Linked DNA regions of Arabidopsis thaliana. The protein of the gene in region 2 purifies or fractionates together with the protein of the main gene of each other region. This does not show direct contact. Each region holds a gene or a part of one and is shown on either strand. Other genes may lie near its edges. The genes, in order: TUA4 and SPR1.

What was found.
Region 1: the proteins of SPR1 (region 2) and TUA4 purify together in Arabidopsis thaliana (affinity purification with western blotting, with the first as the bait; one study listed by BioGRID). This does not show direct contact.

The regions. Positions count from the first base shown.
Region 1 is NC_003070.9:1,355,399-1,360,557, forward strand, and holds TUA4 (tubulin alpha-4 chain), read right to left. Parts: upstream 3,150-5,159; 5' UTR 2,869-3,149; coding exon 2,776-2,868; intron 2,366-2,775; coding exon 1,760-2,365; intron 1,677-1,759; coding exon 1,023-1,676; 3' UTR 686-1,022; downstream 1-685. Other genes in the region: AT1G04830 (Ypt/Rab-GAP domain of gyp1p superfamily protein), read right to left, coding at 3,384-3,456, 3,729-3,853, 3,983-4,099, 4,322-4,501, 4,827-4,955, 5,040-5,138. UniProt on the Arabidopsis thaliana protein: Tubulin is the major constituent of microtubules, a cylinder consisting of laterally associated linear protofilaments composed of alpha- and beta-tubulin heterodimers.
Region 2 is NC_003071.7:1,118,666-1,122,661, reverse strand, and holds SPR1 (spiral1), read right to left. Parts: upstream 1,876-3,996; 5' UTR 1,784-1,875; intron 1,760-1,783; exon of another isoform or gene 1,280-1,759; 5' UTR 1,265-1,279; coding exon 983-1,264; intron 890-982; coding exon 812-889; 3' UTR 607-811; downstream 1-606. Other genes in the region: AT2G03690 (coenzyme Q biosynthesis Coq4 family protein / ubiquinone biosynthesis Coq4 family protein), read left to right, coding at 46-540; CDC48B (cell division cycle 48B), read right to left, coding at 2,301-2,759, 2,838-2,915, 2,996-3,086, 3,165-3,293, 3,399-3,568, 3,655-3,921. UniProt on the Arabidopsis thaliana protein: Required for directional control of cell elongation. Stabilizes growing ends of cortical microtubules and influences their dynamic properties.

The DNA.
Region 1 (5,159 bases), on a different chromosome or scaffold from region 2:
ATATTACTAAGAGCAGAAATGGTAAACAACTATCATTTTTCCCTAAGTAAAGATTAATGCTATATACCAAAAAAAAAGAAAAAAAGTAAAGGTTAATGCTTGTATGATTTTTCTAGGGGAAATTAGATAAAAATCATTGCAAAAATTTAACCACATTGTTCAGTCGGGGAAAAATAAAAATCTCAGGTTGTCGATTTTGGGTCAAAATAGTTTGTTTATGCTAGTAGGCCTTTTTTAATTTATGTGGGTCAATTATATTACGCTCCTTGTAGCCCAATGGGCAGAATAAAAGTGAGCCCATGAGTGAGGCGCGTGGTAGGCGAACTGTCAAATGAAAATATCTTACCCACTCGCATACTAAGCGCGTATAAGACTGGGAAAACTGCCGTTTTTCGCTAAAATTAATAAACTGGGCGCGTGTGGGCGTTTTTTTACTAATAAAAACGTAACTGGCCTTCTATCTGATTAACCTTGTCCGGCCTTCTTTAGTGAGCCCATTTTTGTTTTAGTTTTATGTTTATAGACCTTATAAAATATAAAGCCCATATACAGTTGTTCCAACCGCAGCAACAACTGTATCCAATTAAGGTTAGACTAATACACATTTTCTTATTCAACACGCTAATTTAATCAGATAGACTTTGATTAGATACTTTGATCAGAGAGTATCTTACTACATAAATTTATCTGCTATATCCTCACTGCCACATATTTCTCAAGAATCCCAAAGTATCATCATGCTTAGGTCAAAATGCAAAATATATAACATCTCATGAATTTTTTCCATGCCTTCAAATAACCCTTGTAGTTTTGATAGTAGTGATAAGATATTACCAGAAAGGCAGAAACGATTTAACACACAAAGGAAATAGATAATAGAGAGATAACATGGCTACGAAAAGATAGAGAAGTAGGTTTTAAAACACACACGATTAAAGACTCCCAAGAGTTTTGAGCCCATTCTCACAAGACGAGATTATAGAGAAACCCACACAAATCCAAAGTTTTTAGAAACATTCTTCTTAGTATTCCTCTCCTTCATCATCTTCATCGTCACCACCTTCAGCACCGACCTCTTCATAATCCTTCTCCAATGCTGCAAGATCCTCACGTGCCTCTGAGAATTCTCCTTCTTCCATACCCTCACCCACATACCAGTGAACGAAAGCACGTTTGGCGTACATAAGATCAAACTTGTGATCAATACGGGAGAACACCTCAGCAACACTGGTCGAGTTTGAGATCATGCAAACAGCTCTCTGGACTTTAGCAAGATCACCTCCTGGAACAACTGTTGGTGGCTGGTAGTTGATACCACACTTGAATCCAGTAGGACACCAGTCAACAAACTGAATAGTGCGCTTGGTCTTGATGGTGCCAACAGCTGCGTTTACATCCTTGGGGACAACATCACCACGGTACATCAAACAGCAAGCCATGTACTTTCCGTGACGTGGGTCACACTTAGCCATCATGGAAGCTGGCTCAAAAGCACTGTTTGTGATCTCAGCAACTGAGAGTTGCTCATGGAAGGCTTTCTCTGCGGAGATGACTGGGGCATAGGAGGAAAGCATGAAGTGGATTCTTGGGTATGGGACCAAGTTGGTTTGGAACTCAGTGACATCAACATTTAAGGCACCATCAAACCTCAGAGAAGCAGTCAAGGAAGAAATAACCTGAAAACAAAATAGGAAAATAACATTAGATGAGCCCAAGAAAATGTAACAGCAAAAAGACTGGTTGAGGCTGGCTACAATACCTGAGAGACGAGGCGGTTGAGGTTGGTGTAGGTTGGTCTCTCAATGCTTAGGGAGCGTCTGCAGATGTCATAGATAGCTTCATTGTCGAGGAGGATGGAGACATCAGTGTGTTCCAAGAGAGAGTGAGTGGAGAGGACACTGTTGTAAGGCTCAACAACGGAGGTAGAGACCTGTGGAGATGGGTAAACTGTGAAACCCAACTTGGACTTTTTCCCGTAGTCAACAGAAAGTCTCTCAAGGAGGAGAGATCCAAGACCAGATCCAGTCCCTCCACCAACAGCGTTGAAGACGAGGAATCCTTGGAGACCAGTACAGTTATCAGCAAGCTTTCTGATACGGTCTAAGCACAGGTCAACAATCTCTTTCCCAATGGTGTAATGACCACGGGCGAAATTGTTAGCTGCATCTTCTTTACCGCTGATGAGTTGTTCAGGGTGGAAAAGCTGACGGTAAGTACCAGTCCTGACCTCGTCGATCACAGTTGGCTCAAGATCAACAAAGACAGCACGTGGGACGTGCTTACCTGCACCGGTTTCACTGAAGAAGGTGTTGAAAGCATCGTCACCTCCACCAACAGTCTTGTCACTCGGCATCTGGCCATCAGGCTGTAACATTCCAGATCCAAAACATATCAATACAAACTCATACAGTATGCACTAAGCATATAGAAGCTTAAGTATATGGGAAATAGATCGATTTGCATCTTCTAAACAAACCTAGAATATTTTTTTTGTTCAACGAACAGATCTTGAATCAACCAACAAGAAATCTATGTCAAACTCAGATCTAAACAGGTATGTCAAAAATATTTCTAAAATGAGAAACGGATCTTACATAAACCACATAAAAAAATTGTAAGACATCGGAATCAAACACAGATCTAAACAATTACGTACTAAATATATACGAATTCATCAGAAATCCGGAGAACAAGGTCAATGCATGGCCAAATTATCTCAGATCTGAATTATAAAATTACGAAAAATATAGAAGAAGCACAGATCTAGATACGAACCTGAATGCCATGTTCAAGACAGTACAGCTCCCAGCAAGCATTTCCGACCTGGATACCAGCCTGACCAATGTGGATCGAAATGCACTCTCTCATTTTCGTGGAAGAAAGAAACTAGATTTCCAGGGAAGAAGACGAAGGGCGTTTATGAAGACGCTCTTTTTTGATGAAAAAAACTGAATCTAGATCTGATTTTTCTATTTCTAGGTTTTTAGTAAGGCGTTTGATGTGTATTTATAAACGAAAGTACCCATCTGTATATAACGACACGTGTAATGATGTAATTGGGTTGTTGTTAATATCACGATACTCGTGAGCTGCGTATTTTCTAATTTTGAATTTTTGCTCGTTTTGTGACCGTTTCTCTTATTTTTGAAGCTGCAAAATTCCCTTGAATTGCGTGGAACTTAACCGAAATTTAATTCGATTTGAACCTGCTAAAGACCAAAGTCAACAGTAAACCGAAATGATAAGAACTGAACCAAAATCGGAGCTTCGAGCTCCAGCAGCTGTAGTGGAGATGATTTCGGTACCACCGTATTGGTCATAAATATTCTTGTACTTTTTTTTGCCTGAAATGGTAATATCAAGCTTCTCTTTTGTGTAAATCATTACAGGGTGGAAGTGCAAGTGGTCAAGGCTCTGAGTTTTGGCATATGTACGTTTTGGAGGAGGAGAATGATTCTCCAAGAACCTCATATGGCTTCTAAGACTGAAATCGGAGGACAAGTAACAACCACATTTTGTTTGCATTCATGATTTCCGAGAAAATCTCCAAAACGATAACGTAACAAACAAACATGTCTTGCCATTTAAACAGTAAAATATAAAAACAAAACAAAAACGCTTTGTATATTGTAATGGGGGCAACTAAAAGTTGGTTTAATCAAAAGCTAGAAAAAACCAACAAAAGGATTTATACTAACATTTTGGAACGAAGTTTATTGGCTACATACAAGAGATGACTGATGTTTGTAGTTGGATAGTGTTGAAGTAACTTCATATTCGACGTGAAATCCCCAGCGATTAGCCTCCTCCTCACCAGTACCAGCATCGCACAACATATCCCCAGTAAGCTTTCCTGCAACAATACGATACAGACCGGGTCTTCTTTAATCAAGCAAATGAGTGGAACAGTAAACTAATGTGACTTCTGCATCTATCGATTTGATTTCGGGTATGCATCAAGGAGAAGATATTACGATCTTACCAGCGGACCTTCAGGGTCGCTTAAGAGTGCATCCCATATGTGAAGACTGTCAAAGAAACTAAACTCTTGTGTTAGGAGGAGAGTGATCCACCTAAATGCATAGAACTGTGGATTTACCTGTAATCAAAGAATCTATACAATGTCAGTCTCAATCTCAGAGGATCCAATCCACTGTTATTATGTTATGGATAGGAGAACAAGAATACAAAGTAAGCTGAGGGGATCATTGGAATTTATCTTCCGCACAAAGCAGATCATTAGGACTATAGTAGTAGAATGACAAATATGGTTGTTGTCACAACAAAAAGACATGAGAGAAAGAAAAAACCAATGTCTTACTTTCGTGGTGATCTCTAGATGACGCCACAGTTCCTCATCATGCTTCCTCACAAGTTGTGAGAGCCTCGTAATTGCAGATCGGATTCCCACCACACTATTGTCGAGTTGTTGACAGTAGAAGTCTCGAAATCCACTCAACAATTCAACAAAGCAAAAGAATGCATCTGCTTCAGCATGGGACTGCATATTTTGAAAAGAGTTAATATGAAATTGATTGAAGCTGAGAAGAAGAAAAACAAGGTTGAAGAAAAAAGATCATACACGAACCAATCTTCTAAGAAAATTAGACAGAGAGGTCAGATTCATACTAATAGATTACGGGGTTCTTTTTTATTTGTAACTCTGTGACACATCATTTAGTAAAACAGTCTTGAGCTTTTACTTCAAAGGAACGCATATCTTGAAATTATTGAGGGTCCAGACTAGCACTGTTACCTTAAAACTGTGTACGTTATCATTGAAAGTTGGTTAAAGGGTATCACCGAAACAAAAAGAGTCTACTTACTGAACTATCTTCATCAGGGTCGTTACGGAATACATAAAAGATAGGTGCTAAAATTTCGTTCATCCCTTGAACATATCTGATGCCTTGGTTTAACTTCGCAAATACAAGTAATATATTCTTCATAGATTCCTAGACATGTAAATCGAAATGTCACTGAGCTTTGATTAATCAAAAATAGGTGAAAATTTGCTGATGAGAACACAAAAAGGTTACCTGATTAGAACGCGCAAACGATGATTCACCGGAGAAAAAGGGTATGTCTGGATGTGTACGCTTGACATCTCTGTCTATTTGTTCTATGGTCTCCGTATCCTACATTAACAAAAGAGTGAT
Region 2 (3,996 bases):
GTAAGCAATGGTGTTTTGATCTTTGGTGGTATCTTTACTTTGAAGGCTATATTATTGGAGCGTCCTCGAGTTGTGTCAGAGCAAGTAGGTCATGCTTGGGATCTACCAGAAAACACATTTGGAGCTGCATATGCTAAATTCATGGGATCTAGAAACTTCTCTCCCGATGATCGTCCGCCCGTAAGATTCATGGAGACGGATGAATTGGCTTACGTAGCGACACGGGCACGCGAAGTTCACGACTTATGGCACACTCTGTTTGGCCTTCCTACGAATCTTATCGGCGAGTCGTCTTTGAAAGTTATCGAGTTTGAGCAAATGTATCTTCCGATGTGTATGCTCTCTGTGATTGGAGGTACTGTGAGGTTCAACGAGAAGCAAAGATCAATGTTCTTGAAGCATTACCTTCCTTGGGCTGTTCGTGCTGGAAGACAATGCACTGACCTCATGTGTGTGTACTATGAGCGTCACTTTAGTGAAGACTTGGAGCAAGTTCGTAGAAAATGGGGAATCATCCCTGCTCCTCAACATCCTAAATGACGGTTCTAGTTTAATCTGTTTTCGAATCACTTAGTTATGCCAAATCTCTTATAAATGTGTAGTGGATTGGATTAAAAGTTGTACTCGCATTTGATGGTTAATAAGAGACAAGTTGGGAAGTTTTTGATTCAAACATTTTTTCAGCAAAATATTACAGATAAGAGTTGAGACAAGAAACCGACTTCTTATCATTTAAAGGCTCACATCAAACAGTTTCATAGTGAGATAACGCAGCAAAGACAATGGATAGATAAAGGTCTTTGCAATTATTTTACTTGCCACCAGTGAAGAGATAATCCAAGGATGATCCTCCTCCCGGAGCTGCGTGAACTTTGGTCGAAGGACGGTCCTGCAGAGATAGACAGAGAAAGGGAGAGAGTGAGTGAGTATCATTACCATTTCGATTCACGGGTATTCGAGTAAAACGGACACGAAAACGTACAGTGAGGAAGTTGCCGGTGTTCTGTCCTTCAGCTCTGGCATAGTTGTTAACAGGAGTTTTGATACCAGCAGGAATCTGCTTGTTAAGCTCTGCAGGCTCAACAGAAGTAGTAGCAGTCGTGAGTGCGGTTGCAGTCACAGCTGTTACTGGTGGTGCAGGTCCGTTGTTAGACTCAGTAGGAGCGGGACGAGGAGCTGGAACTGGCTTAGGAGCAGGAGCGTCACCACCAAAGAGATAATCCAATGAGCTTTGACCTCCACCACAGCTGTTTCCACGACCCATTGTATAAAATAAAACCTAGCACAACAAACCAAAACACCGAAATATAATAAGAAACTATAACTTGCCAACATTCAGAGATGATAGATTCAGAGCTGAACAAAGTGAAGACTCAATTCAATTGTGAATGCTGCTTAAAATTCACAATCAGAATAGTAGCAACGTCAATTATACAAAACCACATATGCTAACGCAAAATCTTCACCTCAAAGTTCACATTTCTCGAAGAACGTCGGGAGAATTAGACGACGAAACCTAGTTTTTAGCCAATTTTCAAAATAGTGGAACAAGAGTGAAGACTGAATCAGATCTAAAACCATTGAAATCGAATCACCATTTCTAAATTCCTGAATCTACAAAATCCGTAGAAACCAAATCTCCAAAAATTGAGGATAAAAACACCATAATTCGAAGCATGATCGAGGAATCAAAACATAGGAATCTACGATCTAACTTCGTCTAAGACATCAGAGAAACGAAATCAAAGCGATCTGGAGGAATTTTAGGGGTTAAGAAACAAACCTTTTGGTGATTCGCGATCAGATCTAGAAGAAGAAACTCAAGGAGAAGAAGTAAAACGCAGACTCGGAGCTGACTAACTGAGTCATCAGCGAGCCACTCTATTTATAAGCTCAGACCGGTTTTTGTTAGTGTCAGGGTTCCGGTTTAATTGAAATCAAAACGATTTCAAATTTTTTGATTAATAAGACAAAATAAAATTCACATCTTTCAGCTAAATTCCAAAACCGGTTTATGAAGAAATATCAGATAATTATTGTTGATTTGGATTAGAACACGTAAAAAGTAATTAATTAGTAAGAGATAACCAGTGAAATTATTGGTGCTTAAAGAAATTTCACGACGGTGGTGAGGTTCGTGGGCCATTCATGTGTAATGGCCAATCTTTGTCATTGTTCGAATCTAATAATCATTAGCCGTTTTATTATTTAAAAATTTGAACTTTGAAACAAAAGATATTTTGGTATTTATGAATAAAACAAAATTAGCAACTTTTTTTAACTTTGAGCTGTTTCAAGTCTCATGTAGCAGAAGCTACTAGTAATTCATGTTTAGTGTGGTTGAAGTAATAGTTTCCAGTAGCAAGCAACAATAAGCTCAAAACACCTAATTGCCATGAGAATCCGAAGACGGTGGAAGTCGCCTTCTTTTTGTTAATCGGAATCGGTTTCGAATCAGATCTTTTCGCCGCCTTCCTGAATGATGAATAAGTTTCGACTTCTTCGATTGTTAACGCTGGTTTAAGCGAGCTTTTTGCGGTTTGGAAATGGCGATTGAAGACAGCGGTTGCTGCGATGTTTTCTCTAAGTGAGACAGTTCCGCTTTCTCTGCATAGACCCTCGAGCTCGGCACCTGTGAAGAGATCGGTTTCTTCAGCGATTTTTCTGAGATCAACGTCGTCTCCTAGTGTCATGTTGCGTGTATGCACTTGCAGTATTTCAAACCGGGCTTCTAGATCAGGCGGTGGCACGTATAGCACCTAAATCAAGAAGAGGGTAGCAATGAGGTTTGCTATTTCAGAACTCGTGTGATCAAAAGATCCAATATGAGGACTTACGAGATCAAATCGACCAGGTCGCATTAGAGCAGCATCAATTGCATACGGGCGGTTTGTGGCAGCCAAGACGAGGATTCCCTTAAACCAAAACCCGATCAATATCATTGCAACCCAATAACAAAGATAAAATCTTTAAAAGCCTATGAGCTTTTGTTTACCTTTGCTTCTTCAAGACCGTCCATTTCGGTTAACAGTGTAGATAGAAGCCTTTCTCCAACTGTAGAACTATTGCTTGAGCTCTCATCACCTCTACGAAGACCCAAGGAAATAAACATGTTAAGAAGAGTCTATAACACGAAGCAAGAGTTGGGAGAGATAGAGACAAACCTTTTACAGGCAACGACATCAGCTTCATCAAAGAATATTATACTTGGAGAAGCAAGTCGAGCTCTTTGAAATGTATTCCGCAATAATGCTTCACCTTCTCCAACATACATAGAAAATAGCTCCGCACAGCTGCATCGCACACCCACACAAAGACACAAGAAAAAATAAGTTTCTTTAAACAAGTTTCACAACCAAAGGGGGATTTTGTTAAATGTGATCTATCAAAATCTATACCTTAAGGAAAAGAAGGAGGCTTGAGCAGCATTTGCAGCGGCTTTAGCAAGAGTTGTCTTTGAGCAACCTGGAGGACCATGTAGAAGTATCCCACGCATTGGCGATATGCCCATTTTTACAAATGCAGCTGAATGTTTGATTGGCCATTCAACAGCTTGCTGGAGCTTTTTCTGTCACAAGGAAAAAAAAACCATTAATCGCAATGGAGAAAACAGGACAACAAAGTGCAAAATGAATATTTTTAAAAAGTATTGACCTTTAAGTCTTTAAGACCACCAACATCGTCCCATGTCACTTTAGGGATTTCAACTGTGATGCCTCTGTTTATACTTGGACCAACCACAGATTTTGCAATCTTGAAGTCTTGAGATGTTAGAATAAGAGAATCTGAAGATCTTTTACTTGCAGATATTGTCGCTTCACGACATAAAGCTTCCAAATCTGCTCCAACATAACCGTTGCAAGATATTGCAATGGCTTGAAGATCGACACTAGGATCTAAATTGACTTTCTTTGTGTACAGCTGAAAAAAATAGAAAACATGAAGATCACAAACAAACTTACTATATACGAAAATCCCATTTAAGAACTCGATAAT